Linked DNA regions of Anolis sagrei. The protein of the gene in region 1 purifies or fractionates together with the protein of each later gene. This does not show direct contact. Links are inferred from orthologs where the notes say so. Each region holds a gene or a part of one and is shown in the gene's direction. Other genes may lie near its edges. The genes, in order: CIAO1, POLE and CIAO3.

Evidence for each region.
Region 2: the proteins of CIAO1 (region 1) and POLE purify together in Homo sapiens (affinity purification with western blotting; 3 studies listed by BioGRID, with this or other methods). This does not show direct contact. The link is inferred for Anolis sagrei from reciprocal best matches to the Homo sapiens genes CIAO1 and POLE.
Region 3: the proteins of CIAO1 (region 1) and CIAO3 purify together in Homo sapiens (affinity purification with western blotting; 3 studies listed by BioGRID and IntAct, with this or other methods). This does not show direct contact. The link is inferred for Anolis sagrei from reciprocal best matches to the Homo sapiens genes CIAO1 and CIAO3.

Annotation. Positions count from the first base shown.
Region 1 is NC_090027.1:21,929,785-21,940,702, reverse strand, and holds the start of CIAO1 (probable cytosolic iron-sulfur protein assembly protein CIAO1), read left to right. Parts: upstream 1-6,970; 5' UTR 6,971-7,025; intron 7,026-10,778; 5' UTR 10,779-10,805; coding exon 10,806-10,918. Other genes in the region: TMEM127 (transmembrane protein 127), read right to left, coding at 2,063-2,306. UniProt on the Homo sapiens protein: Key component of the cytosolic iron-sulfur protein assembly (CIA) complex, a multiprotein complex that mediates the incorporation of iron-sulfur cluster into extramitochondrial Fe/S proteins.
Region 2 is NC_090034.1:47,406,693-47,416,916, forward strand, and holds the start of POLE (DNA polymerase epsilon catalytic subunit A), read left to right. Parts: upstream 1-6,189; 5' UTR 6,190-6,256; coding exon 6,257-6,336; intron 6,337-10,224. UniProt on the Homo sapiens protein: Catalytic component of the DNA polymerase epsilon complex. Participates in chromosomal DNA replication.
Region 3 is NC_090034.1:20,514,554-20,525,659, reverse strand, and holds the start of CIAO3 (cytosolic iron-sulfur assembly component 3), read left to right. Parts: upstream 1-7,175; 5' UTR 7,176-7,314; coding exon 7,315-7,380; intron 7,381-10,081; coding exon 10,082-10,177; intron 10,178-10,363; coding exon 10,364-10,507; intron 10,508-10,839; coding exon 10,840-10,972; intron 10,973-11,106. Other genes in the region: testis-expressed protein 2-like, read left to right, coding at 1,867-2,010, 2,377-2,589, 2,902-3,022, 3,578-3,727.

The DNA of each region.
Region 1 (10,918 bases):
TATAATATATACTTTCTGTTCATATGTTTTTGACTTTGTTGCACCCCACTTCAGGAGAGGCAGGTAATAAATAAAAAAAATATATAGGCAGGCGGTTCCCAGGTTAGAAACACCTGACTTACAAATAACTCATATTTAAGAATTGGGGGGAGGGTTTAGACAATGGGAAGTGAGAGAAATCTACCCTACAGAGAGGAAATTCACTCCCAAAAGAGTTATTATCAGTGGGAAAAGGTGTCTCAACTGAAGCTTTACCTCCAATTCTTGTTTCCACAAGAAGCCACATTTTTCTATATCCAATTATCACAGGGTCAGAAAGTGAGGTGGAATCTTCTGAACACCTCAAATCAAGGAAACACCACAGGGGTGTTAACCCTTCCCTATACTATCCAAAACGTATGTATGGCTGGTGTTACACTTAAGAAATGTTCCTGTTTCAACTTAACACACAAATTCAATTTAAGAACAAACCTACACAATCTCTCTTCTTGGAGCATGCAAGGAATCAGTTCATGTGTGTGTGTCAACTATAAAATAAGACACATGAAGCTGTTTGGACAGGCTATGCCCAGGGAGGAAGTTGAGCCTAGGACTTTTGGATACTGTTACATTTTTTACACATGTTTTAATGTGTATAGCGCTGATATTTTAATCGTGTTATGAAGTGGCATTGTGTTGTTATTGTATATTCTTTGTATGTTAACACATGTTGTGAACCGGTCCGAATCCCTCTTTGAAGGTGAGAGGGTCGGTATATAAAACCTCGAAATAAAAATAATAATAATAAAATAAATAAATAAATTTTTGTTCAGGCTTGAGCTATGCACATGCAGAGAGAAGAGAGAAGCAGAGAGAAACAGATTGATTTGCTTCTTGGCTGCTGAAAGAAGGTTATTTATCTATTTTATTTTGTATAAAAAGCATTGCATAAATTAGTATAAAAGTGATAAAAATAGGTGTACAAGCGGCTAAATATCTTTTGACCAAAAACGGGCAACAGCAATGGCAGTGTCTGTAGCCTCCAACAATTCCTCCTCTGTACATGAGACAGGGCACAATGGACAAGCGTACAGATGCAGAGTTGTCTGTTCTGCTCCACAGTCACACAAGGTATGGGATTCTTTTAGGTAGTGCCATTTGGCCAGGTTGTCTTTTGATCTGCCCAATCCGCTTCTGAGTGTATTTAAGGACTTCCAGGTTGCCCACTGTTTGTTTGCCCCTGGAGGAAGACCCTCATGGGGGGCCATCCAGTTGGGATTTCCTGATTTAGCTGCCCAGAGGGATACCCTTGCTGTTGCTGGAGGGATGCCAAGAGGAGTGGTAGTTCTCATAAAGCTTTTCCTAGATTTGAGACTGCTGGGAGGAGGCTAGTAGCCATGTAGTGGATGGCTTTCAGTGTTCAACCTTATTTCTCTCACATTTAGTAGCAACTTCCCATCGCACATTGGGGGGGGGGGGGGGGGGGCAATGCCAGCTAGCTTGTAGAGTTTATCAACAGGTGTAGGTTTAAGACATCCTGTGATTATTCTGCATGTTTCATTCAATGCTATGTTCACCTGTTTTGTGTAGGCAGACCTATGCCAGACAGGGCAGACATACTTGGCAGGTACTTTGTGCTTGGTGTTCAAGCAGTGTTTCCTATATGCTAGTGTTCGATCTAAGGTGACACCAAGATATTTAGGATGGAAACAATGTTCAAGAAAGGTTACTCATATGGACACAGAAAGGGCCATTTTGAATTTCTCATAGAAGGACAATATGTGAGTTGGTGAACCTGATCATACTGTACACATGTTGTATGAACCTGATCATACTGTACACATGTTGTTCACTACTTGTTCTTCAATGTTCATATGCATGGCATATTTTCTTTCTCTGGCAAGGTAGTGTGTGGGCTGATCCAACATGAAGTACACTTGGTTTATTTTACATTACGCCACATCTTGTTCGCAATCTGGGGACTGCCTATATTGTTATTACCCTTAAAATATTGTGCTGTTTTTCCAAAGATTGCTTCAAATGTTCATTTTAAAGCTCACCCCATCCCCCATGTCCCTCTCACCTTTGAGTAACTCGGGGTCAACGTATCCGAGCACATCAGCGACGCCCAGCTCCTGGCGCGCGCAAGTGCCCCCATGAATCCGTAGCCAGGCAGGCTCCGCCAGTGCAGTGCAAAGGGCAGTGATGGAGAGTGCGCCAGGCAAAGCCGAAGCCAGGCTCCTCTCCGGCTGCTTTGGCAAGGTGCTCCCATCCTGGCCTCTCCGCCGGCGCCCACCAGGCAGCACCGAGCCACTAGGGGTGTACATGGGGCCAGACGCTCCCTTCCGAGATCAAGGCAAAGAGTCTAAAGACACACGATTGTGTCCAGAAGGAATTGAGATGACAACGAGGCCTTCAGCGAGATCTTGTCAATGCGTTTGGGTCCAGGTCCGGAGAAAGCTGAAGGCCTGCAGACATAACAGATTGTTAAATTGAGAAGGCAATGAGCTAAATGTGAATTTAAAAGAATGTGAACCTTTACCAAAGTAGAGAAATTGTTCATATGAATATTACTCATCTATATATATAAAAATGCTCTGTGCGTAATGAGTACCTTAAAAACAAAAGAACCAATGCACGAAATCACACCAAATTTGGCAACAAAAGGTCTCACAACACAAGGAGTGACCATCACTCTAAAAATTATGATTTTGTCATTTGGGAGTTGTAGTTGCTGGGATTTATTGTTCACCTAAAATCAAAGAAAACTCTGAACTCCACCAACAATGGAATTGAACCAAACTTGGCACACAGAACTCCCATGAAACAACAGAAAATACTGGAAGGGTTTGGTGGGCGTGACCTTGAGTTTTGGAGTTGCAGTTCACCTACATCCAGACAGCACTTTAGACTCAAACAATGATGGATATGATTCAAACTTGGCACGAATACTCAAGTGTAAACACTGGTGGAGTTTGAGGAAAATAGACCTTGACATTTGAGAGTTGTATTTGCTGGGATTTATAGTTCACCTACAATCAAAGAGCATTCTGAACCCCACCAATGATAGAATTGGGCCAAACTTTCCATACAGAACCCCCATGACAAACAGAAAATACTGTGATTTCTGGTGGTCTTCTGAGACCCTTCTGAGACCCCCTCACAACCCCCCCCCAGGGGTCCCGACCACCAGATTGAGAAATGCTGTCTAAAGGCCATCCAGTCCAACACCTTTCCCCAGGGCAAGAAAACATAATCAAAACCCTCCTGAGAGTCATCCAGTCTAGATATAGATAAATAGATATGATTCACACACACACACATATGCCAGATATAGTATCATAGATTTCAAAGGGAACTCTAAAGAAGGATAATGATATGTTGCATGTTCTAGAGTAAGCAAACCAGATAATCTCTACATCAACACTGACAAGAAATACTGTTTACTCACAAGCCAATAGTATTTTCCAGGTCATCAGAATGGGCCACAGCAATGCGTGGCAGGGGGCAGCTAGTGTTTATATAAAAATTTTAAGTACAGGCAGTCCCCGATTCACAAGCATCTGGCTTACAAATGACTCCTAGGTAAGAACGAGGCTGAGATGACAGGAAATGAGAAGAATCTGCCCCTCGAGGGAAGGGAAATTCACTCTTGGAAGAGTTAATATCTTGGGGGAAATGGGTTTCCACTGAAGTTTATCTCCAATCCTTGTTTCCATAACAAGCCAATTTTCCCAAAAACCAATGTTCCCAGGGACAGAAAGTGAGGTGACATAGAATCATAGAGTTGGAAGAGACCCCAAGGGCCATCTAGTCCAAACCCCTGCCATGCAGGAAAAGCACAATCGAGGTACCCTTGACAGATGGCCATTCAGCCTCTGTTTAAAAGCTTCCAAGGAAGGACCTTCCACCAGACTCCGAGATAGGGTTCCACTGCTGAACAGCTCGCATGGTCAGGAAATTCTTCCACATGTTCAGGTGGAATCTCTTCTCATGTAATTTGAATCCAATGTTCAAACCCTAGTCTGCAGGGCAGCAGAAAACAAGCATCTCCCTCTCTCTCAGGACATCCTTTTACATATTTATACATGCCTATCATGTCTCCAGGACCCCCTGGTGACACAGCAGGTTAAACTGCTGAGCTGCTGAACTTGCTGACTGAAACGTTGGCGGTTCGAATCTGGGGAGTGGGGTGAGTTTCCACTGTTGGCCCCAGCTTCAACCTTAGCAGTTTGAAAACATGCAAATGTAAGTAGATTAATAGGTACCGCTCTGGAGAGAAAGTAGCAGCACTCCATGCATTCATGCTGGCCATATAACCTTGGAGGCACCTACGGACAACGTCAGCTCTTTGGCTTAGAGATGGAGATGAGCACCAACCCCAGAGTCAGACACAACTAAATTTCATGTCAAGGAAAAACATTTACCTTTACTACCATGTCTCCTCTCAACCTTCTCTTCTGAGGCTAAACAGACCCAGTTTTTTAAGACCTCCCAGGAATTATTCATGGTCTCCAGACCTTTGATGGTTTTAGTTGCCTTCCTCTGGACACCTTCCAACTTAGAGGCAATATGTCTTTAAAATTGTGCTGCCCAGAACTGGACGCAGTGTTATTTCAGGTAAAGAGGTCTGACCAAAGCTGAATATTACCTCCCTGGATCTAGACACTATACTCCTTTTGATGCAATCCAAAATCCCATTAGCTTTTATAGCTGCTGCATCTCATGTTCATCTTGTTCTCCACAAAGACTCCAAGATCTTTCTCATGTGGGCTGTTGTTGAGCCAGGTGTCACACATCCTATATCTTTGCTTTTGATTTTTCCTGCCTAAATGTCGTATCTTACATTTGTCTTTGTTGAAATGTATTGCGTTAGCTTTGGCCAAATGGCTCTCTCATATGTTAAGATTCTTTTACATCCTGATCCTGTCCTCTGGAGTATTAGCTTTCCCTCCTAATTTGGTCCCATCTGCAAACTTGATAAGAAGCATGCTCTCTACCTCGCCTCTTGGTGCTGAAATGTCCACTATGCTTGGATACTGGTTGTTGCATGATTAATTATGTTTTTATGACGTTGTATATGTATTTGCATTTTTATTGTGTATATTTTAACTCTATTTGACTGGGCTTGGTCCCTATGTAAGCTGTCCAAAGTCCCTTCAGGGAGACAAATAAATAAAACACAGAGGTATAAAAACAGCAGCCTTAAAACTTACTAACATAATACACAACAAAAAAAACCAATAGGAGAATTACTAAGATGGGGATGATCAGATTATAAAAGGAACAGGCATGGAATAGTTTAAAATAGGGGATTGGAAGAAGTGCAGAGAATCTTTGTCCATGTCCTTAATGAAGATCCTGAACAGAACTGGGCCCAGGACAGAGCCCTCTTCATGGCATGCAAATAGTCACCTCTTTGAGTTGTTGTAGGTTTTTTGGGCTATATGGCTATGTTCTAGAAGCATTCTCTCCCGACGTTTCACCCACATCTATGGCAGGCATCCTCAGAGATTGTGAGGTCTGTTGGAAACTAAATAAGAGAGGTTTATATATCTGTGGAATGATGTCCAGAGTGGGAGAAAGGACTCTTGTTGTTGGGGCTAGGTATGAATGTTTCAATTGGCCACCTTCATTAGCATTTGATGTCCTGGCAGTTTTTAGGTGTGGCTTGTTACTGCCTAGGGGAATCCGTTGTTGAGAGGTGATTAGCTGTTCCTGATTGTTTCTTGTCTGAAGTTCCCTTCAATTGTGGTGCCCAGAATTGGACACAATATTCCAGGTGTGGTCTAACCAAGGCGGAATAGAGGTGTAGCATGACTTCCCTAGATCTAGACACTATGCTCCTATTGATGCAGGACAAAATCCCATTGGCTTTTTTTGCTGCCACATGACATTGTTGGCTCAGGTTTAACTTGTTGTCCACGAGGACTCCAAGATCTTTTTCATGGTTGGAGTTTTTATATTTTAACTATCTGTGTGTGTAGGTTTTCTGTCAACCGTATGGCCCAATTGTTGATCTGGATGACTAGAACTTCTAGAAAAGGCCCCTTTCCTCTATTTTCTTTTTTCATGGTGAACTGGATGTTTGGGTGGATGCTGTTGAGGTGGTCTAGGAACCTGTTTACTTCTTCTCCTCCATGGCTCCAAATGGTGAAGGTGTCATCCACATATCTGCCAGAGCTTTAATGGTGCTTCTTTTTTTGAGGGTGAAGATGAGGAACCGCCTGAACATCTTCTAAACTGGGGCACCGGCAACAAAGGAAACCCCATTGGGATGGGATGTTGACCTTTCCTCCAAGCTAGTCTCTCCCATGACCCACACACACCAGTTAGAGCGGTATCAAACAGGTATAATAATCAAGCCGGGAAAGGAATGGGGCCTAGAAGCCTCTCAAAGGGGCCTCGAGTGGAAGAGGCCCCGCCCGGCTCCTCTCCTCCCATCTCCCTCCTTCCCACTCCAGAGCCTCACCTCGGTCCCTCCGCCGCCTCAGGGGCCTCGAAGCCCGGCCATGGGGGCCCCTCACCGCTCTCTTTCTCCCTCAACCCGGCCCTTCCGGTCCCGACGAGCCCAACGAGCGCTTCCGTTTCCGCCTTCCGCGGATCGAGCGTGCGTGTGACGTCAACACGCCGTGCGTCAGGGAGAAAGAAAGCCGACTCTGGCGTCGTGACGTCACGCAGCCTGTTGTTCATAGACTCATAGAAATAGATTGTTACCCCGTTTTCTCTCTCCATGCCGAGACTTAAAGCTTTTCACAGTGGAAAACATTGCAATGCAACTTCAAATATACAAATATCAAAAAAGTATTATGATTATTATATATTATCAGTATTATTATACTTAGTATTATAGGGGACAGGTCCCCTTAAATCGGGATTTTTCCCCCCGCGCAAAGCTTCTTGGGAGTTGTCGTTTCTCCGCCACGAATAACAACAGCGACGGGTGGGAAAAGAAACTACCAATCCCGAAAGGCATAGCGGCGGGCGCTCTTTTGGCTTCTCTCCGAGGCTGCGCAGGCGCAGAGAAAGCCTCAGCCTACACACAGGTAGGAAGTGGTGGATAACTTCTCTGGGCGACTCCTGGGATTCCATAGCGTTGAACCATGGCAGTTAAAGTGGGATCAAACTGTATTAATTCCGTAGTATAGATGCAGCCTTGGCGCTCAGGCTTTAATAATATAATAACAATATAATATAATAATATATGATAACAATATTATTTTAGATGGAGCCTTAGATCTCACAGCTGTCAGGCTTTAATAATAATAATAATAATAATAATTATTATTATTATTATTATTATTATTATAAAGTGAAGAGAGAAGGGCCAGGAAAGCAGTTCCACGTTGTCTTCTGTGCTATACTAATAATATAATGTAATAGTGTATAATATATTGTATATACATATATTTATAATATTATAATGTAATACAATATAATACTACTAATAATACAATATTTTATATATATATATATAAATAACATGTAATATTACTTTTTGTCGTGTCAGGAGCGACCTGAGAAACTGCAAGTCGCTTCTGGTGTGAGAGAATTGGCCGTCTGCAAGGACGTTGCCCAGGGGACGCCCGGATGATTTGTTTTATCATCCTTGTGGGAGGCTTCTCTCATGTCCCTGCATGAAGAGCTGGAGCTGATAGAGGGAGCTCATCCGCCTCTCCCCGGATTTGAACCTGCGACCTGTCGGTCTTCAATCCTGCCAGCACAGGGGTTTAACCCACTGCGCCACCGGGGGCTCCATGTAATATTATGCTAATAATATCATATACTAGCCATCCCCTGCCACGCATTGCTGTGGCCCGGTCTGTTGATCTGGAAAATAAAGTAATGAGAAAGTGTTCGTTTCTAATATATGTAATTTCTTTCTGCTTGTGAGTAAACAGTATTTCTTGCTGTTTCTTTGTCAGTGTTGATGTGGAGAGTGTCTGGTTTGCCTACTCTGGAACATGCAACATATAATTGTCCTCCTTCAGGAGTTCTCTGTGCATGTGTGTGAATCATATCTATCTATATCTATGGCTGCATGACTCTTTGTCAGGAGGGCTTTGATTATGTTTTCTTGCCCTGATGAAGGGAGTTGGATTGGATGGCCTTAAGTATTTTCTGTTGGTCGTGGGGGTTCTGTGTGGGAAGTTTGGCCCAATTCTGTCATTCGTGGGTTTCAGAATGCTCTTTGATTTTAGGTGAACTGTGAATCCCAGTGACTACAACTCCCAAATGTCAAGGTCTATTTCCCCCAAACTCCATCTGTGTTCGTATTTGGGCGTATTGAGTGCTTGTGCCAAGTTTGGTCCAGATCCATCATTCAGTCCACAGTGCTCTCTGGATGTAGGTGAACTACAACTCCCAAACTCCAGGTCAATGCCCATCAAACCCTTCCAGTATTTTCTGTTGGTCAAGGGAGTTCTGTGTGCCAAGTTTGGTTCAATTCCATCAAGTTCAGAATGCTCTTTGATTGTAGGTGAACTATAAATCCCAGCAACTACAACTCCCAAATGACAAAATCATATTTTTTTTGAGTGATGGTCACTCCTTGTGTTGTGACACATTTTGTTGCCAAATTTGGTGTGATTTCGTTCATTGGTTCTTTTGTTTTTAAGGAACTCATTATGCACTGAGCATTTTTATAGATATAGATAATAATATAATTATTATAAAAATAACATTATAGAATATTATAAAAAAAATAAAAGTGAAGAGAGAAGGGCCAGGAAAGCAGTTCCACCTTGTCTTCTGTGCTATAATATTATAATGTAATACAATATAATACCAATACTAATAATATATATAACATATTACTAATAATATTACAATATAATGGTGTAGTACAATATAGTAAGATATAATACTGATATTGTGCTAAACTAATAATATAATATATTGTATGTGTATATGTCTAGTACACCACTCTGAGTCCCCTTCGGAGTGAGAAGGGTGGCATATAAATGTTGCTCTGCATCTCATGGTGCAAGAGCGTAGTCTATTCAGCACCTTCCAAGTCACCCAGTTTTCTGTGTGCCTGTTAGGGAGTCTCTCATTTGGTATCAGCCATTAATTGAGGTTCTGGGTTTGAGCCTGCCACTTTTGGACTCTTGCTTGCTGAGGTGTTCCAGCAAGTGTCTCTGTAGATCTTAGGAAGCTATTTCTTAATTTAAGGCATTGGTGTGCTGGCTAATATCCGAACAGAGGATGGGCCAGAGATGTCACTGCCTTGGTCCTTTCAATATTGCCTTCTACTTCTCGGCGGATGTCAAGTGATGCAATACTAGCTAAACAGTATAATTTCTCCAGTTGTGTGGGGCTAGAAATCTTGTGATAATGCAGCGTTTCTAGCACCCACTTTTTGCTTGATATTCAAGCAGTGCTTCTTGTAAGTCACAGCACACTCCAGAATGACTCCCAGGTCTTTTGGTGTGCTGCAGTTCTTCAGTGGGATTCCTTCCCAGGTCATCCGCAGAGCTTGAGATGCTTGTCTATTCTTAAGGTGAAAAGCAGACCACTGCATTTTAGATGGATTAGAAATCAGCTGGTTTTCCCTGTAATAGGCAGTAAGAGCACCTAAAGCTTAAGAGAGCTCCTGTTCAGCCATTTCAAAGCTCCCTGCTTGGGCGGTGATGGCACAGTCATCAGCATAGATGAAACTGCCTGTCCCTTCTGGCAGAGGCTGATCATTTGTGTAAATGTTGAACATGGATGGAGCAAGCACGCTGCCCTGAGGCAGGCAATTCTTCTGTTTCCGCCATCTGCTTCTCTGGCCCTGGAACTCAACAAAAAAGCTCCTGTTTTGTAGCATGTTTCTTATGAGGCGGGTGAGGTGGTCATCCTTTGTGATATTATACATTTTTCTCAGGAGGAGGCGGTGGTTTACGGTATCATAAGCCGCTGACAGGTCTATGAAGACAGCTCCTGTGATCTGCTGCCGTTCAAAGCCATCCTCTATGTGCTGAGTCAGGTTCAGCACTTACGATGTGCAGCTTTTGCCTTTCCTGAAGCCAGCTTGCTGTGGAATCAGACATGGGTCTATTTTTTCCATAATTCTATGCAAAATAAGTCTCTCCAGAACTTTGTAAAGATGGCATGACAAGGAGATTGGTCTATAGCTTTCTATCATTGCAGTCTTTGCCTGGTTTCAAGATGGCTATGACTCTTGCTTTCCTCCAGATTTTGGGGATCTCACAGGATGCAGTGCAGTTGTTCATCAGTTCCAGCAGCCAGCAAAAGTTCTTGATTTGTTCCATCCGTACATCATCCAGGCCAGCTGCTTTGCCATTTTTACATTTCCTATGAAGTGGGTGGGATGATGGCAATAATGATGTATTATATTTCTTACCCAATTTGAAGAGAGGTGGGGAAGAATAAGAATAATTTTTAATTATTTGTATTTTATTATGATGATATACAACATATTAAACTACAGAGATAAAACCTATACAGTAAGCTTCCAAGTTATGACCCAAATAGGTTCTGTAAGTTTGTTCTTAAGGTGAATTTGTATGTAAGTCAGAACAGAGACATTTCCAAGTGTACAACTGTGAGCTGTATATATATGTGTGTATGGCTTTCACTCTCTTTCTCTCTCTCCTCACACACATACACACACACACACACGCATAGCTGTGAGTGGTGTATATATGAACCACCTGGCCTTGAGTTATGCTCCATCTTTGTACGTTCATCCATTCAGGAAATGTATGACTGACAAGTTGAAACCCTTCTTGGCAATCTCTCGATTCAAATATTTTTAAAATGATGTTTAATTTTTGAAGCAATCTCCTTCCTAGGACCCAGCGCCTCTGTTTGGGGCCGCCATGAAAGATTCCTTGGTGCTCCTGTCCCGCATTGCTGCGCATCCGGACTCCCGCTGCTGGTTCCTGGCCTGGAACCCAACGGGGACCCTCTTGGCTTCCTGCGGAGGGGACCG
Region 2 (10,224 bases), on another chromosome or scaffold:
ACTCCGGATGATCTCTCCCAACGGCTTCAAGTATATGTTAAACAACATAGGGGACAGTACTGAACCCTGTGGGACTCCACAGTACAATGGGTGTGGGGTCGAGCAGGAGTCCCCTAGCGACACCTTCTGGGATTGACCCTCGAGGAAGGACTGGAGCCACTGCAGAGCAGTACCCCTGAGGCCCATTTCCACGAGGCGTCCCAGGAGGATACCGTGGTCGATGGTATCGAAGGCCGATGAGAAGTCCAGCAGAACCAACAGGGACACACTCCCCCTGTCTAGTTCCCGGCGAAGATCATCCACTAAGACGATCAAGGCTGTCTCAGTACCATATCCCGGCCTAAAGCCAGACTGCGCCAGATCTAGATAATCTGTGTCTACCAGGAACTCCTGGAGTTGCGAGGCCACCACACGTTCCAGGAACATGCTCAAATAGGGGAGATTGGAGACTGGCTGGAAGTTGACGAATTGAGTGGGGTCCAGTGATGGTTTTTTCAACAGTGGTTTTATAACAGCTTGTTTTAAGCTGGCTGGAATGTTGCCTTCCCGAAGGGAGGCATTAACCACCACCTTTACCCACTCTGCCAAACCCCCTCTGGCTTCCTTTACCAGCCAGGATGGGCAGGGGTCTAGGATGCATGTGGTAGGCCTCGCCTCCCCAAGAATCCTGATGACATCCTCGAGTTGAACAGATCGAAATGAATCCATCAAAACTGGACAAGCAGATGCTCATGTTACATCCTCAGAGACTGCCGTTAATGTGGTGTCAAAGCCCGAACGGATTGAAGCGACTTTGTCTACAAAGTACTGAGCTTCACAGCGAGCTGCTGAGTCGTCAGGGGACCCATCCTGAGAGGTGGGGTTCAACAGCCCTCTGACTACTCGAAACAGCTCTGCCGGATGGTTCCTTGCAGATGCAATATTAGCCGAATAGAAGGAATTTTGTGTGGCCTCTATTGCCATGCCATACGCCCTTAAGTAAAGGCATAGGCGTGTTCGGTTTGACTCGCTCGGTTCTTTCCGCCACACGCTCTCTAGCCACCTCTTTGTTCGCTTCATCTCTACCAACTCCTCGTTGAACCAAGGAGATGGTTTAGCTCGGCTACTTAAGAGGGGGCACTCCGGAGCAATCGTGTCTATTGCCCTAGTCAACTCATTATTCCAATGGGAGACCAGAGCATCAACAGAATCACCAACCGAGGAGACGGAAAAAATCCCCAAGAGTCGTCAGGAATCCCTCTGGATCCCTAAGCCTCCTGGGGCGGACCATCTTAATGGGTCCACCACCCCTGCGGAGGTTGGGAGCTGCAGAAAGTCTAAACCTGATCAGGTGGTGGTCGGTCCATGGCAAAGGAGTGATTGACAGCTCCTCCACACCGCCACCCTCTTCCCAACCCTGACAGAAAACCAAGTCAAGTGTGTGTCCAGCACAGTGGGTAGGGCCAGATACTAGCTGGGACAGCCCCATAGTTGCCATGGTGGCCATGAAGTCCTGAGCCGCCCCAGAAAGGGTGGTCTCTGCATGGACATTGAAGTCCCCCAGCACTATAAGCCGCTGGGACTCCAATGCCAGGCCTGAGACCAACCCTGCAAGCTCAGGTAGGGCGGCTGTGGTGCAGCGGGGTGGTCGGTACACCAACAGCATCCCTATTCTGTCCCGGCCTCCTAACCTTAGGTGGACATATTCAAACATGGTTGACTGTAAGGCAGGGCCCCTGATTAAGGAGATGGAATCTTTATAGACTATTGCAACTCTGCCTCCCCGCCCCCCAGATCTTGGTTGGTGCTGCACAGAGTAGCCTGGTGGGCAAAGCTGGGTGAAATTAACCCCTCCAGCTTCGTCCAACCAGGTCTCTGTGATGCATGCCAGATCTGCCTTTTCATCGAGGATTAAGTCCTGGATGGTTGATGTCTTACCATTGACAGACCTGGCGTTCAACAGCACCACCTTTAATCCGGGAGGGCCATCTACCTTGGTACCCAAGTTTACCATATCGGGAGAACATTTTGGAAATTTCCTCAGGATTTGCTCACGAATTGGCTGAATTGGTTTTTTAACTCTCCCTTTCCCGTATCTCCCCCTCCCCATCATCACTTCTATTGGGGGCCCCCGAGCAATGGAACCCCCCGTCCCTCCATCCCCTTCCGAACTCCACATCCTGGGAATCTAATATTGTTGTATGGTACATCATATTATTATTATTATTACTATTATTATTTTACTCTATTTATTATTATTGGAAGGATACGTAAGCATATTTACATTAAAGAAGGTTAGAATAATGGTTGAATCAGAGTTGGACAGTCTTATGTTGAATTACAGTTTTATGTAAATATTCAAAAACATTTAACCAGCTGATGCCTCAATTAATGGTATCTATTTTTATTTTGAAATTGACCCATAAATGCTGCATTTCTCACCCTCGACTTATACTCAAGTCAATCTGTTTTCCCATTTCTTTGTGGTAAAATTAGATGCCTCAGCTTATATTTGGGTTGGCTTATACTCGAGTATATACGGTAATTCCCACTCTAGATTGCAGGGAGATGAATGCATGAGGATAAAGTGAAACAGTTATGAGTCAAACAAGCTGAAAAAAGCCTCAATTGACATAGGGAGTCCATCATATTCATTTCTTATTGAATGGCAGAAAGGGGTTAGATTGGACAATATTTGGAGTTCCCTTCCAACTCTAGGATTCCCCATACATTAAAGGGAGAGGGACAATCATTCACCTGCATAGGAGCATAAGTCAGGTTGATGAACTGGACTGGGGTCAAGACTTTACAGTTCAACTTCAAGGCCCTCCAGTAACTGGATTGCACCCTTTTGAGCAATGTTTCTCAACCTGGGGGTTGGGACCCCTGGGGGGGGGGGTCACAAGGGGGTGTCAGAGGGGTCACCAAAGACCATCAGAAAACACAGTATTTTCTCTTGGTCAAAGTGATATAGAGCACGATTTTAGGGGGCGCTGTCAAGACAGAGGCCAGCAAGACCCAAAAAGAGGATCCGCTATGCCTGGCAAGTAGGGCTGTCCAACCACGGAAAAATTTGTTTCTAAACTCAATTCGTTTTTAGGGGGGTTTTGCGTTTCGATTTTTAAAAGAATTCCGAAATTTTTCTTTAAAAAAGTTCGATATTTACGAAATTTCGGAAATTACGAAACAATAACAAAACAATTACGAAACAATTACGAATCGATTCATTAATGGCGGACACGATCGTGCAATACACTAAAAAAAACCTCCAAGTGGGACAGGGGGAACTTCTGAAGCTTCCCTCTCCCTCTGTTGTTGACTGTTGGTGTGATAATTATATTTTTTTTCACTGATAAAACAAACAGCAACCCTAAAACTTGCACCAGACATGCGGAAATAATAACGAAACGATTTTGAAACAATTTCGAAACGATTTCGAAACAATTACGAAACGAATTGAAAAATTCGTTTCGTTTTTTAGTTGCTCCTGAATGGTTCAATATCGCTTCGTTATCCAAAAAAATAACAAATTAATAACGAATTACGAAATTAACGAACGAAACCGCTCAGCCCTACTGGCGAGACAATAAGCACTAATAAAAGTTTTCCCTGTTTCCTAATAAATCTCACCAGGATGAAGCAAGGCCACCGAAGTTTATTTTCTATTCCAGCTGAAAAGGATGATGACCGCAGTAAGCTGCCAAAGAGCCGACATGCTCCTGAGCAGGAAAATACAGAATATATAGAGCTGTCAAATTCAAATTTCCCACGCCCGCCCCCCAAAGCTGGCTTTGCTGTGATTGATCGTGACGGCGAGGGGTGGATGCGGCTCCTCCAATCAGAGCCCAGGCCCCACTTCGGCCGCTCAGCTAATGAGGTGAGAGGAGGCACGGCGTAAGGAAAACAATGAAGGAATGTCCAGGTGATTGGATTATGAATGGTCCTTCTCAGACCTGAATGACAAGCGATCAAGGATGATAGCTGTAAGCCCTCTAGTCTCTGACCTGACTATTGATACAGAGTTGAAAGAACACCTTCGTCTGGCCCCACAGAGCCAGCTTATTGTCAAAAGATTGGTGATATTGTCATCCTTGTTAAGATCGTTGGATTTTCTTCTAGGGAGGGGAAATGGCTTTGTTGGAAGAAAGAGCGACATCCCCTTCCCCTCGCAGTTGGGGGGAATGTCCTTTGTGTCAAGTGATTACCATGTCCATGAGTCCTCAATTCCTCAGGTGACCTAGTCAAAAAGACCCTCTGAAGCCCAAGGACCTTACTTAAAAATACCCCTCGTAAAATTCAAGGAGATTACTCTTGCAGGGTTTTTTTTTTTTTAAAAAAATGTTGATTATAAAAATGTTGAAAATTTCCCCTAAAATCTATGAATAATTGAAACGTTCTGAAATTTGATGGACTAACAGTGATCAACGTGTTCTACCGTTGTAGCAAGTTTCACTCCAATAGCTTTAAAGAAGAAGGAGCCCCGGAAGTTTCCCCAATTAGAGTAATTATGCACAATTACTATAACGAAATAGTAACGAAATTTCATTACTCTCGTTATATTCACGAATTTTTCACTACCTATACTTCAGAAACAATTTAGAAACGAAATGTCCACGTCCCCGAGTTTTGTAATGACTTTTGGACTTTTTTTTTAATGGACCGCACATCCCTACTGCAAAGGGAGGGTTGTTGTTCATTCGTTCAGTCGTCTCCCGACTCTTTGTGACCTCATGGACCAGCCCATGCCAGAGCTCCCTGTCGGCTGTCACCACCCCCAGCTCCCTCAAGGTCAGTCCAGTCGCTTCAAGGATGCCATCCATCCATCTTGCCCTTGGTCGGCCCCTCTTCCTTTTACCTTTCACTTTCCCCAGCATGATTGTCTTCTCCAGGCTTTGCTGTCTCCTCATGATGTGGCCAAAGTACTTCAACTTTGTCTCTAGTATCCTTCCCTCCAATGAGCAGTCGGGCTTTATTTCCTGGAGGATGGACTGGTTGGATCTTCTTGCAGTCCAAGGCACTCTCAGCACTTTCCACCAACACCACAGCTCAAAAGCACCGATCTTCCTTCGCTCGGCCTTCCCTAAGGTCCAGCTCTCACATCCGTAGGTGACTACAGGGAATACCATGGCTTTGACTAGCCGGATCTTTGTTGCCAGTCTGATGTTTCTACTCTTTACTATTTTATCAAGACTAGACATTGTTCTCCTCCCAAGAAGTAAGCGTCTTCTGATTTCCTGGCCACAGTCTGCATCTGCAGTAATCTTTGTGCCTAGAAATACAAAGTCTGTCACGGCCTCCACATTTTCTCCCTCTATTTCCCAGTTATCAATCATTCTTGTTGCCATAATCTTGGTTTTTTTTATGTTTAGCTGCAACCCGGCTTTTGCGCTTTCTTCTTTCACCTTGATTAGAAGGCTCCTCAGCTCCTCCTCGCTTTCGGCCATCAGAGTGGTGTCATCTGCATATCTGAGGTTGTTAATGTTTCTTCCAGCAATTTTCACCCCAGCTTTGCATTCATCCAGCCCTGCACATCGCATGATGTGTTCTGCATACAAGTTAAAAAGGTTGGGTGAGAGGATGCAGCCTTGCCGTACGCCTTTCCCAATCTTGAACCAGTCTGTTGTTCCGTGGTCAGTTCTGACTGTTGCTACTTGGTCCTTGTACAGATTCCTCAGGAGAGAGGGAAGGTGGCTTGGGATGCCCATCCCACTAAGAACTTGCCACAATTTATTATGATCCACACAGTCAAAGGCTTTAGAATAGTCAATGAAGCAGAAGTAGATGTTTTTCTGAAACTCCCTGCTTTTCTCCATTATCCAGCGGATATTGGCAATTTGGTCTCTTGTTCCTCTACCTTTTCTAAACCCAGCCTGAACATCTGGCAACTCTCGCTCCATGTATTGCTGGAGTCTTCCTTGCAGGATCTTGAGCATTACCTTACTGGCATGAGAAATAAGGGCCACTGTACGGAAGTTGGAGCAGTCTTTTGCATTTCCCTTTTCTGGTATGGGAGGGAGGGAGCCAGTGCAAAACACCCTGTTTGTGGGAGGGGACACGTCAGTTTCCTTTGGAGGCCGGCAGAGGGCGCTTGTCCTCTTCCTTACGGCGCGAATGGGAAGACTGTAGGACGGGTGGGCGGGGCTACTCCCATCTGTTACTTACCGGAGAAAGGAATGTGATTGGCGCGGGGCACGTGGAGGAAGCAACAGTGATCCCGCGAGCGGGAGGATTCTCGCGCGGTTTCCCCTCAGCGCGGGAAAGTGAAGAAGTTTCGAGGATGGCGACGCGGAGAGGCGGTGGGCGGCGCTGGCGAGCGGAGGCTCCCGCCGGAGAAGGCCAAGGAGAGGCGCCAAAGGGGTGAGGGAACCCAGGGCCAGGGTCTTCAGCCGCTTTGAGCATGTGCAGAGGGCCTTCCCGCTAGGGCGGTGTACTCCTGGGCATGTGCAGAGGGCCTTGCCTCCTTTCCCGGCCCCCCCTTCGCGTTTGGGGCTGAGAGAGCGTGACCCTTTGGGTACAAAGTGGGCTTCAGACCAAAATATTGGGGGAAATTTGAATAAAATGCCGTTTAGGGCAATGAAACATCGGTGGGTTTTGTGTTTACATCAATACTAGCGGTTCCCTGCCACACGTTGCTGTGGCCCAGTCTGTTTATCTGGGAAATAAAGTAATGAGAAAGTGTTGGTTTCTAATATATGTAATTCCTTTCTGCTTGTAAATAGGATTTCTTGCTGTTTCATTGTCAGTGTTGATGTGGAGAGTGTCTGGTTTGCCTACTCTGGAACATGCAACATATTATTGTCCTTCTTTAGGGGTCCCTTTCAAATCTTTGATACTGCATCTGTCATACACATATGTGTGTGTGTGTGTGTGAATGGCTGGATGGCCCTTTGTCAGGAGGGATTTGATTATGTTTTCTTGCCCTGGTGAAGGGAGTTGGACTGGATGGCCTTAAGGCAGCATTTCTCAACCTGGGAAGTCAAGACCCTGGGGGGGGGGGGTGTCACCAGGGGGGAGTCAGAAGGGTCCCCAAAGACCACCAGGAAACACAGTATTTCCTGTTGGTCATGGGGGTTCTGTGTGGGATGTTTGGCCCAATAACTACAACTCCCAAATGTCAAGGTCTATTTCCCCCAAACTCCATCTGTGTTTTGTCGAAGGCTTTCATGGCTGGAATCACTAGGTTCTTGTAGGTTTTTTCGGGCTATAGGGCCATGTTCTAGAGGCATTTCTCCTGACGTTTCGCCTGCAACTATGGCAAGCATCCTCAGACCTCACTACCTCTGAGGCTGCTTGCCATAGATGCAGGCGAAACGTCAGGAGAAATGCCTCTAGAACATGGCCCTATAGCCTGAAAAAACCTACAAGAATCCATCTGTGTTTATATTTGGGCATATTGAGTATTCATGCCAAAATTTGTTCCAGATCCATCATTGTTTGAGTCCACAGTGCTCTCTGGATATAGGTGAACTACAACTCCCAAACTCAAGGTCAATGCCCACCAAACCCTTCCAGTATTTTCTGTTGGCCAGGGGAGTTCTGTGTGCCAAGTCTGGTCCAATTCTATCGTTGGTGGAGTTCAGAATGCTCTTTGATTGAAGGTGAACTATAAATCCCAGCAACTACAACTCCCAAATGACAAAATCATAATTTTTTGATTGATGGTCACTCCTTGTGTAGTGAGACGTTTTGTTGGCAAATTTGGTATGATTTCGCTCATTGGTTCTTTTGTTTTTAAGGTACTCATTATGCACAGAGCATTTATATATATAGAGAGAGAGAGAGAGAGAGACTAGCGGTCCCCTGCCACATGTTGCTGTGGCCCAGTCTGGTGTTCTGGAAAACAAAGTAATGAGAAAATATATGTAATTTCTTTCTGCTTGTCGTTAACAGTATTTCTTGCTGTTCCTTTGCCAGTGTTGATGTGGAAATTGTCTGGTTTGCCTATTCTCGAACATGCAACATATCATTGTCCCTTTCAAATACTGTCAGCAAGTTCAGCAGCTTAGCAGTTTAACCCACTGCGCCACAACAAACACACACATATATAACTGATCTGTATGTATGGGTCTCACTTAAGAGAGAACAGCTGCACATAAATAAATATGGTGATAATAGTAATAACAGTAAGCCATGACCCCATGTCCAATATACATATACTCTCTCTGTGTGTGTATAGTAAAGGTAAAGGTTCCCCCTGACATTAAGTCTAGTTGTGTCCAACTCTGTGTATCTTTATATACTAGCTTGGGGGCGCTGCACGGGTTATTTATATGGCTCGCAGTGGTCTCAGGAAGTTAGTGAAGGTACTGCAAGACACATCATCCATGTTGTCCTCCTCCAAAGAGCACCAGGATGTAGAGTGTGTCATGGGGGCTCTGTGTGCCAAGTTTGGTCTTGATCAGTCATTGGCGAGGGTCGCAGTGGTCTCAGGAAGTGAGTGAAGTGACTGCAAGTCCCATCATCCATTGTCAGATTCTTCCAAACCGCACCAGAATGTAGAGTGGGCCATGCAGGCTCTCTGTATTCATTGTGGTCCTGATCCATCATTGTTGGCAGTTGTAATGGTCTTAGGAAGGGAGTACAGGTATTGCAAGTCCCATAGTCCATGGTGCACCCTCCTCTAAACCACACCAGGATGTAGAGTGCGTCATGGAGACTCGGTGTGCCAACTGTGGTCTTTATCGGTAATTGGATGAGGGTTGCAGTGGTCTCAGGAATTGGGGAAAGGTACTGCAAATCCCATAATCCATGGTCCATCCCCCGCTAAACCCCACCAGGGCATAAAGTGGGTCATAAGAGATCTATGTGCCAAGTTTGGTTTTGATCAGTCATTGCATAAAGGGCACAGAGGTCTCAGAAAGTGAGTGATAGTACTGTAAGTCCCATCATCCATGGTCCATCCTCCTCCAAACTGCAGCAGGACGTAGAGTGGGTCATGCGGGCTCTGTGTGCCAAGTTTGGTCTTGATTGGTCATTAGATGAGCGTTGCAGCAGTCTTGGGAAGTGAGTGGAGGTACCTGAAGTCCCATCATCCATGGTCTGCCCTCATTGAAAGTGCACCAGGATGTAGAGTGGGTCATGGGGGCCCTGTGTGCCAAGTTTGGTCTTGATCAGTCATTGGAGAGGGTCTCAGTGGTCTCAGTAAGTGAGTGAAGTGACTGCAAATCCCATCATCCATCTCCAAATTCTTCCAAACCGCACCAGGATGTAGAGTGGGACATGCGGGCTCTCTGTGCAAATTGTAGTCCTGATCCATCATTGTTGGCAGGTCTAATGGTCTCAGGAAGGGAGTGCAGGTATTGCAAGTCCCATCGTCCATGGTGCATCCTCCTCCAAACCGCACCAGGATGTAGAGTGCGTCATAGAGACTCGCTGTGTCAACTTTGGTCTTTATCGGTAATTGGATGAGGGTTGCAGTGGTCTCAGGAATTGAGGAAAGGCACTGCAAGTCCCATAATCCATGTTCCAAACCCCACCAGGGCATAAAGTGGATCATAAGAGATCTATGTGCCAAGTTTGGTTTTGATCAGTCATTGGTTGAAGGTCACAGAGGTCTCAGAAAGTGAGTGATGGTACTGCAAGTCCCATCATCCATGGTCCATCCTCCTCCAAACTGCAGCAGGACGTAGAGTGGGTCATGCGGGCTCTGTGTGCCAAGTTTAGTCTTGATTAGTCTTTGGATGAATGTTGCTATGGTCTCAGGAAGTGAGTGAAGGTACTGCAAGTCCCATCATCCATGGCCCATCCTCCTCCAAACCGCACCAGGATGTAGAGTGCGTCATGGAGACTCGGTGTGCCAACTTTGGTCTTCATCGGTAATTGGATGAGGGTTGCAGTGGTCTCAGGAATTGAGGAAAGGTACTGCAAGTCCCATAATCCATGGTCCATCCCCTGCCAAACCCCACCAGGGCATAAAGTGGGTCATAAGAGATCTATGTGCCAAGTTTGGTCTTGATCAGTCATTAGATGAAGGTCACAGAGGTCTCAGAAAGTGAGTAATGGTACTGCAAGTACCATCATCCATGGCCCATCCTCCTCCAAACCGCACCAGGATGTAGAGTGCGTCATGGAGACTCGGTGTGCCAACTTTGGTCTTTATCGGTAATTGGATGAGGGTTGCAGTGGTCTCAGGAATTGGGGAAAGGTACTGCAAGTCCCATAATCCATGGTCCATCCCCCGCCAAACCTCACCAGGGCATAAAGTGGGTCATAAGAGATCTATGTGCCAAGTTTGGTCTTGATCAG
Region 3 (11,106 bases), on another chromosome or scaffold:
GTTTTCCCTGGCAAATTACTCATTTACCGATCTAAGTCCTCAATGAAGAAAACAAGCTTGTGCAGGATGTGGTTGAATTCCAACACCATGGCATCCTGAGAGTTGTAATTTTATCAGGTCCTTAGCCAGTGCTTCTCCCAATAACAACTCCCCAAATCCCATTGTTTGTATTCCATCCAAAATCTTTGGCACAGCTCCAAGTGTCTGCCCATCCGTGCCAGCTCAGTTACAGTCTCGGGAGCATCCACTCGCCATAAATCTGTCATTTAATAGCCTTGGCCTTGCAAAAACCACGATTTGAATGTGCTTCTCAGGGAAAAAGATTAGACAATGGCCGTTAATGGGGGCAAAGGGCCCAGTCGGGGCCTGAAGAACCCAAGGTGTCGGGTTAAACTTCAGCCAGAAAGGAATGGCTGGAAGGAGAAGGAATGTGCTGAGCTGTGTTTCTACCAGGCTGTTCTTGTGGTGGAATGATGGTTCTAGGAAAGTTGTTGGTGCCTGGGGAGAAAAATACATTGTTCCAGGCTAATCATCATCATCATCAGCAGCAGCAGCAGCAGCATCATAGTCCCCTCAGGGAGATAGGGCAGATTATAAATAAAGTATGTTTTTCGTGTTGCTGTTGCTGTTGCTGTTGCTGTTGCTGTTGCTGTTGCTGTTGTTGTTGTTGTTGTTGTTGTTATAGTGATACCTGGAACAACGTCAGACATTGAAGCAGAAGCAAAAGCTGCCAGGACCAAATAATGATGATGATGATGATGATGATGCCAGGCATCTAATAAGAAGGAGAAGGAGGATGAGAAGGAGAAGAAGCCTGAAACAATGCCAGGCATCATATAATAATAAGAAGGAGGAGGAGGAGAGGAAGAGGAGGAGGAGGAGGAGGAGGAGAGGAGGAGGAGGAGGAAGAAGAAGAAGAAGAAGAAGAAGAAGAAGAAGAAGAAGCAGCAGAACCAGAAGAAGAAGCAGCAGACTGGAACAATAATAATAAAAGCAGCAGCAGAACCAGGCATCTAATAATAATTATTATTATTATTGTTATTATTCCAGGCATAGAAGAAGAAGAATCCTGAAACAATGCGAGGCACCAAATAATTATTGTTATTTATTTATATTATTTATTATTATTATTATTCCAGGCTTCTAATAAGGAGGAGGAGGAGGAAAGAAGTAGCAGCCTGGAACAATGTCAGGAATTGACATTAATAATGATGATGATGCCAGACATCTAATAATAAAGCAAGCGGAGGAGGAGAAGCCTGGTCCAGTGCCAGGCATCTAATAATGATGATGATGATGGCAGGCATCTAATTATAAGAAGGAGAAGAAGAGGGAAGAGAAGAAGGAGAAGCCTGGACCAATGCCAGGCAAAGAAGAGGAAGAAGAAGAAGAAGAGGAGGAGGAGGAGGAGGAGGAGGAGGAGGAGGAGGAGGAGGAGGAGGAGATGGTAGAATAAGTCTGGAACAATGCCAGACATCTGATGATGCTGATGCCAGGTATCTAATAATAAAGTGGAGGAGGAGGAGGAGAAAAAGCCTGGACCAATGCCAAGCATCTAATAATAATAATAATAATAATAATAATAATAATAATAATAATAATATACTGCTATAGAATCCTGGGGTTTGCAATTTGGTGAGGCAGAGTAGGCTAAAATCCAGGGCTATTTGTCCATTGACTTGAGAGGTTTCCTTTTCCGGACAGAGCAATTGCCTACTTGCAGAAGGGAAATCCTCCTTGATCCTAGATGTGGGTCATGGTCTTAATCCCAGGAAGCTTCCGCAAATACATGCTGCTGCCCGAGGTCAGGGCTCTGTCTTTAGGCCTCAGGTCACTCATTTCTCTCTCCTTGCTGCTTCCTTGCAGAGTCAGGCCCCGCTTGGTCTTGCTGGCCGACAGCGAGGCCGAATCCTCCAGCGCTGGTTCTTCCGAGGAAGAAGACGCCCCTCCTTCAGTGGAGACTTCTTTGGGGGGCCCAGGAGAAAGGGGGGCCCCTCCCGGGATGGAGAGGTAGGCTTGGGATAATACGGGACATTATTATTGCAATGAGTTCCCATTGGGCAGCATCTTCCCAAAAGGGACCTTGGCCAAAATCCTATATCTGTGCCCTTCCCATAAGTGCCAGGAGAGGACAGAAGGGATTTATTTGAATTTAAAACAAACAAATAAAATAAGAACACGATTAAAATACCCATAACAAAAAATGACTCTGAAGATAACAAAAGGTAAGTTTAGAATTCACACTTTAAAATGGACTGCTGGGCTTTGGGGGCTTATATATGCCCTCTGTCTCAATGTGTACATTGTTGTTGTTGATGCAGCCTAGAATTGCGTTGGCCTTTTTAGCGGTCGCATCATGCTCTTGTTCCCTTCCAGCCACCTTGGCGGCCACAGCACCAGCCGGAAGATCCTGCGCTTCGTGGACAAGATTGCCAAGTCCAAGTACTTCCAGAAGGCCACTGAGAATGAGTTCATCAAGAAGAAGATTGAGGAGGTCTCCAACACGCCGCTGCTGTTGACTGTCGAGGTCCAGGAGCTGACGGGGACCTTGACCGTCAACATCCCGCCACCACCTACGGACCGGGTCTGGTACGGAGTCTGGATGGCCATCTGTTGGGGATGCTTGGATTGTGTCTTCCTGGCAGAATGGGTTGGACTGGATGGCTCTTGGGGGTTCCTTTCAACTCTGCAGTTCTATTATTCCATAACCCTATTTCTCCATGAACCTGCTCATGTCAATGAGGCTGAATGGCCACCTGTCGGGAGGAGTTGGATGGTGTCCTGTCTGGCAGAAATGAGTTGGACTGGATGGCCCTTGGGGATCCCTTCCAGCTCATGCAAGAATGTATATCCAGGCTTAAAGGAAATAAATAGGATCCTTTTTCTCTTACCTGGTTCCAGGTATAGCTTCCGCATCCCTCCGCAGCTGGACCTGAAAGTCCGCCCCAAATTGGGAGAACGGGAGGTCACTTTCATCCATGTCACCGAATGGATTGAGAAGAAGCTTCAGCATGAATTCCAGGTACCTGCTTGGTCAAAGTGGATCCTGAAATGGGAAAATAATAATAATAGAAATCCAGCATATAGATCTCATTTGCTGTGACATACTGTGTTTTTGTGTCAGTAAAATAATAATAATAACTCTAGACACTTTGGAAGTGTCCGACATGTGATCCAATACAACAGCCAGCAGAGGATCTTGTCTGCTGTGCACTCATCTTGTAATAATAATAATAATAATAATAATAATAATAATAATAATAGCAGTTTCTACCCAGAGCACACCATAGAACCGTGGTATTTTAAAAATGGAGAGACAACAACAACAACAACAACAACAACAACAACAAGCATTATATGACAGTGTAAACTCTCGTATAATGCAGGTCAAAGCAATTAAATTGCATTATGAAACTGTGTCAAATGGCAGTATAGATGGGGCCCAGGGTTTAATCCTGGGACGATCAGATTCACAAACAGCTTGAAGGCGCACAATAACAACAGGTATGGATCAGGCAATAATAGATATTGCATCAATGATATTACATTTAGGTATTCCTTTTATTTCCTTTCCCAGAAAGTTTTAGTGATGCCAAATATGGACGACCTCATATTACCTCTGATGCACTCTGGACTGGAATCCCAGGCGTTTGGCGATGGATCCCAGAAGGATTCCCATGAAGAAGTGTTGAAGAGCTCTCCAATGGGATCTAAAGCAAGAATTTAATGGGAGACACTGAATTTGGAATCCATCATTTCTTCGGGATGAAGGTGGAATGGGTCAAAGCAAGAGGTTTTCCTGTTTCGCAAGTTGTGCGGAGTTCAGCTGACCCCATCCAGAGGTCAATAGGGAGACACTAAACACCTTCAACTTCTCTAAAATTGCCCCTCTCTCCCCAGCTTGCAGCAGAAGGCTTCCCATCTCAACGCTCTCCATCAAGGATCATGGGCCTCTATGAAACCCCAGCGAAAGGGAGAGCCAATCCCTTTGAATGGCATTGCAGAAGCGGTCCCTCTAGTGGCGGAAGGCGGCTGACTATCCTAGCATGGGATTGGCCCGCCTTACGCAACTCGTGTTCGCAAATTGCTGAAAGAAATCACACTGTGAATCCAAATCCACCTTGGGGTCCTTCAGACTGAACAGAGAGACATTTTGCAGGGAGAATGGGGCAAAATAGCTCACAAGAGCAAGTGGACATTTCAGGGGAGGCCAAGAATGCTTGAAAAAATATGCCATGGTTTTGATTCGAACTCTCTCTCCATATGTGTGTGTGTGTGTGTGTGTGTGTGTATGTATGTATAGAAAGAGAGAATATATGGGATATATCCAGAAATCCTGAGGAGTCCATGAAGGCTTTAAAAATGCTATGGACTTGATCATATAGCTGATATACACACACATATGTGCGTGTGTGTGTAAACAGGATTCGTGGATTGGAAATCCATGAATTCTGATCATAGATATATATGTGTTTGTGTATGTGTGTGTATCCAGAAATCCTGGGGAGTCCATGAATGCTTTAAAAATGCCACACACACATATATGATACATGTGTGTGTGTATGATCAGAATTCATATATATATGAATTCATATATATATGAATATATATATACACACACATATATATATACTGGGGAGTCCATGAATGGTTTAAAAATACCACAATCTTGATCACATATATGATACATGTGTGTGTGTGTGATCAGAATTCATATATATATGTATTTGATGATGAAACTATTTTGATGATGATGATATGTAGATCAGGGGAATCCATGATTTCTGATTCCCTTCTCTTTATATATACATGTATGTATGTAAATACATGTGTGTAGATATATATATAGATATATATATGATCAGATAAATCCATAAATGCTTTAAAGAAAATGCCACAATCTTGATTCAAATACCCTATCCTATATATGGATGGAGAGAGTATTTGAATACACACACATACACACACACACACCCTCAGGATTTAAAAATGCAATTAAAAATTGCAAGCATAAGGTACGAATTCTGCCATTGGAAGTGAAAGAACCCAACTGCAAAGGATAGAGAGAGTAATACGAGTCATAACTGCTATCAGTCCCTTCTGCCTGCCTTTCACCTTCCCACTCGCCTGCCTCCCATTCAAACCTAAGGAGAGGAGAGGGGAAATAACCCATAATATACCAATGCAATCAAAGATGGGACGGGATGGGATGGCACCCAGACAATAGCATGACTTTGGGTAACTCCATGGCGCTGTTCGACCTTCCATGTAATAAGTAATAATAATGTCAAAAAAAAAAAGTAAACAAAGCAATAGCTGATGATACGGTGATGGACTGGCACCGGCCGAACAAAGGGCTTTCTTTGCAAACCTTGGCTAAATTGGGGTTGAAGTTGGAGCAGTTGGAAAGAATAAAAGGTTTGCATCAATATTTTGCATGTCTTGGCTTCTGTGATCCCTTCTTTTCTGTGATCCCCACATGGTTGTGGCACCATGGTGTGCCGGTTGTTAGCCGCCCCGAGTCCCTCTGCGGAGGTCGAGATAGGACAGGATACAAATGTCCGAAATAAATATTCTATATCCAGGCATGGGTAAACTTGGCCCCTCCAGGTGTTTTGGACTACAACTCCCACAATTCCTAACAGCCTACTGGTCCAAAACACCTGGAGGGCCTGGGTTTGCCCATAGCTGATCTATATAATAAAAGTGAATATATGTTCCTATCTATCTTTGTTTGTATTGACCCAGCATTATGGGATTTGTAGTTCACCTGCATTCAGAGATCACTGTGACTCCCACTGATGGTGGATCAGGACCAAATCTGGCACACAGACCCATCACAAGCAACTTTGAATACTGGAGAGTTTGGAAGGAATTCACATTGGATGCTGGGAGTTGTAGTTCACTGACATCCAGAGAGTCTCTCTCTCTCTCATCTATCTATCTATCTATCTATCTATCTATCTTATTCTATCTATCTAGTCAGTCTGTCTGTCTGTCTCTCTCATCTATCTATCTATCTATCTATCTACCTATCTATCTATATCTATCTAACTATCTCTCTCGCATCTCTCTCTCTCAATCTGCCTATCTATCTAGTCTCTTTCTTTCTCTCTCAGCTATCTGTCTATCAAGTCTCTCTCTCATCTATCTATCAAGTCTATTTCATCTATCTGTCTGTCTATCTAGTCTCTCTCATCTGTCAAGTCTATCTCTCTCATCTATCTGTCTGTCTGCCTATCTATCGAGTCTCTCTCGTCTATCTATCTATCTAGTCTGTCTATCTCTCTCAGCTATCTGCCTATCTAGTCTCTCTTTCTCTCAGCTATCTGTCTATCAAGTCTGTCTCTCTTTCATCTATCAAGTCTATCTCATCTATCTGTCTGTGTCTGTCTGTCTATCTATCTATCTATCTCTCATCTATCTATCTGTCTGTCTGTCTATCTAGTCTGTCTATCTCTCTATCTCATCTATCTGCCTATCTATCTAGTCTCTCTCTCAGCTATCTATCAAGTGGTCTCTCTCTCATCTATCAAGTCTATCTCTCTCATTTATCTGTCTATCTATCTAGTCTCTCTCTTATCTATCTATCTATCTATCTATCTATCAAGTCTATCTCATCTATCTTGCTATCTGAGTCTATCTCTCATCTATATATCTGTCTATCTATCTAGTCTGTCTATCTCTCTATCTCATCTATCTGCCTATCTCTCTCTCTCAGCTGTCTATCAAGTCTCTCTCTCTCTCTCATCTATCAAGTCTGTTTATCTTTCTCATCTATCTATCTATCTATCTAGTCTCTCATCTATCTGTCAAGTCTGTCTATCTCTCATCTGTCTCTTTCTCTCAGCTAGTCTCTCATCTATCAAGTCTGTCTTTCTCTCATCTATCTATCTATCTATCTATCTAGTCTCTCATCTATCTATCAAGTCTGTCTCTCTCTTATGTGTCTGTCTACCTATCTTTCTATCTAGTCTCTCTCATCTATCTATCTATCTAGTCTATCTCTCTCATAAATTTGCCTATCTAGTCTGTCTCTCAGGTATGTATCTATCAAGTCTCTCATCTATCTATCTAGTCTGTGTGTCTCTCATCTGTATATCTATCTAGTCTACCTATCTCTCTCTCCCTCTCTTGCATCTATCTATCTATATCTATCTAGTCTCTCTCTCTCTCATCCATCCATTTCAACTCCTCTGCCTACATCTATGTTCTTCCCATCCCTGTCTCTTTCACGACGACACTCCCTTTTGCGACAGCGCGTCCTAGCGCTTTGCGGCGCGTACGCACAGAGGGAGGGCGGACCTGCCCAAGATGGCGTCGCCCTTCAGCGGAGTCCTGCAGCTGACCGACTTGGACGACTTCATCGGACCCTCGCAGGTGAAGGGCGAGTGAACGGGGGGAGTGGGCGACCGTGGCCCCTAAAAGGGGCTCTCCTTGTCCTCTGCCAGAGCTCCTGGAAGCCTTGTCCGCCATTCGAGCTCAATATTTCTGCCAAGCCTCCCATACAGCCCTGCGAGGTAGGACAGTTTGGGGGACAGGCGCCTTGAATGGGCTTCCCTCGGTCCAGAGAAGGAGATACTGGGGAAATCGGTATGATTTTAAGGGAAGTTGAGTATATTGTATATTCTATCCTAAAAGGCTCCCATGAGAGGCTGAGACAGTGTGATCTTGCTGCTGGTTCCTTGCCCATCGTTTGTTTTAATGTGATTTTAACTGACTACTTTTAATAGCTTTTTGGTTTTATAGTTATAACTATAATTCTCTCCCTATATGTTTCATTTTATATTATAATTCAGTATATGTGTATGTTTTCTATCTATGTAATAAAATACAACATACATCTATATATATAATTGTATAACTCTCTGTATATACATATATAATAAAACACACACACACATATCTATCTATATATATATATATATAGAGAGAGAGAGAATAAAACCTGCAACATACAAGCGGTGGCGCAATGGGTTAAACCCTTGTGCCAGCAGGACTGAAGACTGACAGGTCGGATGTTCAAATCTGGGGAGAGTGCAGATGAGCTCCCTCTATCAGCTCCAGCTCCCCATGCAGGGACATGAGAGAAGCCTCCCACAAGGATGGTAAAACATCAAAACATTCAGGCATCCCCTGGGCAACATCCTTGCAGACGGACAATTATCTCACACCAGAAGTGACTTGCAGTTTCACAAGTTGCTCCTGACATGGAAAAAACAACAACTATATATACAATTCTATAATTCTCTCTCTTTATATATATGATAAACCACACACACACATATATATATAGAGAGAGAATAAAACATGCAACATGGGAACGAGGGACAGGGCCTTCTCTGTGGTAGCCCCCCAACTCTGGAACTCTCTCCCCAAGGACATCAGACAAGCCCCAACATTGGCAGTCTTTAGGAAGAGCCTGAAGACCTGGCTGTTCCAGTGTGCCTTTCCAGAATAGGAAACTCCTAGCATCATGTCCCAAATGCACTTTGTTAGAGATTTAGGATTGTCTGTACATTGCACCTACCGCCAAAAACCTCTACATTTCACCTGTCATGTCCAACACTTTTTAAATTGTCCATTACATTTGGCCCAGCCTTAGGTTTTAAATGCATCATGGTGTCATTGTTTTTAGTGTTTTATTGTTTTGCTTGATGTTTTATTATTTGCTTTATTAGTTTTATTGTTGTATTTGTATGCTGTTGTTTTGTTGGTGGCCGTGGCCTTTGTAAGCCGCATCGAGTCCTTCGGGAGATGTTAGCGGGGTATAAATAAAGTTAATAAATAAATAAATAAATAAATATAATTGCATAAAACATATGTCAAGAGAGAGAAAGAGAGAGAATATAACATGCAACACACACACACACATATAATTGCATAATTTTATATATATTTAATAAAACATATATATATAGAGAGAGAGAATAAAACATGCAACATACAAACATATATATTTGTATAATTTATATATATTTAATAAAACACACACACATATATAGAGAGAATAAAACATGCAACATAAAACTATATACACAATTCTATAATTCTCTCTATATACATATATAATAAAACATATATATAAAGAGAATAAAACATGCAACATACAGCCATATATATAATTCTATCATTCTCTCTCTCTATATATATAATAGAACACACACACACGTATAGAGAATATAGCATGCAACATACAAATATATATTTAATTCTATAATTATATATACATATATAGTAAAACATATATAGAGAGAATAAAACATATATATAAATAGAGAGAAATAATAAAGCACACACTATACAACTATATATAACTATATATAATTCTATAATTCTTTATACACACATAGAATAAAACAAATATATAGAGAGAATAAAATATAAAACATACAACTATATATATAATTCTACAATTCTCTATATAGGTATATATCTTTTAATATGTGTGTGTGTGTGTAAAACATATATACATATAGAGCATACAACAATTTTTAACAGAAAAAACAGCAGTGTCTATACATTTTAATATTTATATTTTACAGGTTTTAAATTGTGTTGTTATGGATGTGAGCCGCTTTGGGTCTTGATACAGAGAGAAAAATGGATTAGATAAATAATAATAATGCATGTTTCCTCAACCTCAGTGTGTATGCAATCATAATAATGTAATCATATAAATTATTGTTGCTGTAGTAAGCTTACTCAGCCTGTGTTTGTATATAGTAAAGGTAAAGGTTTTCAATGTATTGTCGAAGGCTTTTACAACAACCCAGTAAAGGTTTTCCCCTGACATTAAATGAAGTCTTCTCTGACTGTGGGGATTGGTGCTTATCTCCATTTCTAAGCTGAAGAGCCAGCGTTGTCCGTAGACACCTCCAAGGTCATGTGGCCAGCAAACTTAATGGAGCGCTGTTACCTTCCATATTACCATATATATGTCATGTATATATATATGTCATGTATATATGTCATGATAAGTCAACCAAACCTCACATGCAGGTTCTTTCTGCTTAATTCTTGGGCTTGTATTTTGCCTTATTGGCCTCATTCATTGCTGTCCTGCCTTGGTCTCTTTCAGGACTGCATCAAACCCATCAAAGTAGACAAGAAGCCTGGAAAAGCAATCGCTAAGATCCGCATCGAGGACGATGGAACCTACGTCCAAGTGGATCCGGTAATCTGCCCCCCCCCCCTTTCCCCAGTGTAATTGTGTTGCATACTGGACAGTGTTGTATTGATTATCAATAACCAGCTCCCTTTCAGATGACAAGCTATGGAGCCATAAAAATAATAACAACACATCTCCATAAATAAAATGCGGTGTTACAAGGTCTCAGTGTGCTCTGTTTCTTCCTTTCAGGACGGCCGTTCGCGCAAACTGGAGAAGGCCAAGATTACGCTCAATGACTGCTTGGCTTGTAGTGGATGCGTCACTTCGGCCGAAAGCGTCTTGGTTGCACAGCAAAGCCACGAAGAGCTCCTCCGGGTCTTGGACGCCAATAAGGTCTGCGGCAGATGAGGATAACTATGGATGATGGGAGCAGAAGTCCTGGGTGGGTGGAGGGGACAAAGGGCATGGGGTCAAGCCATGGGTGGGCCTTAACCCTGAGAACAAAGTGGTTGGTAAAATGTTTAGGTTTGAATTGTATTGGCTTTACTGGGAACCGCTTTGAGTCTCTTTTTTAGAAAGAAGAAGCTGGATAATCATAATCATAAATTATAATAAATATAAATAGTCATGATAATGGTAACGATTAGAAAAAGAATTGTAATAATAATAAATGGGAATTATTATTATTAATATTTATTTTAATTTTTTAAATAATTATTTTACAGACATTAGATCCTGCTTCCCGGAAGCTGGTGGTAGTTTCTGTCTCGCCTCAATCCAGAGCTTCTTTGGCGGCAAGGTTTCAATTGACTCCTTTGGACACAGCCAAGAAACTGACTGCCTTCTTCAAAAGATTAGGTAAATGAGGTTTTTCCCTTCAATATGGTAGCAAATTCAATAGCCCCAGCTCAGGGCTTGCAAATTCAGGGCAGTTGTGGCTTCTCTTTAATGGAGTCTCTGTACTGGAAATACCGTCTTTTTTTTTCTCCTTT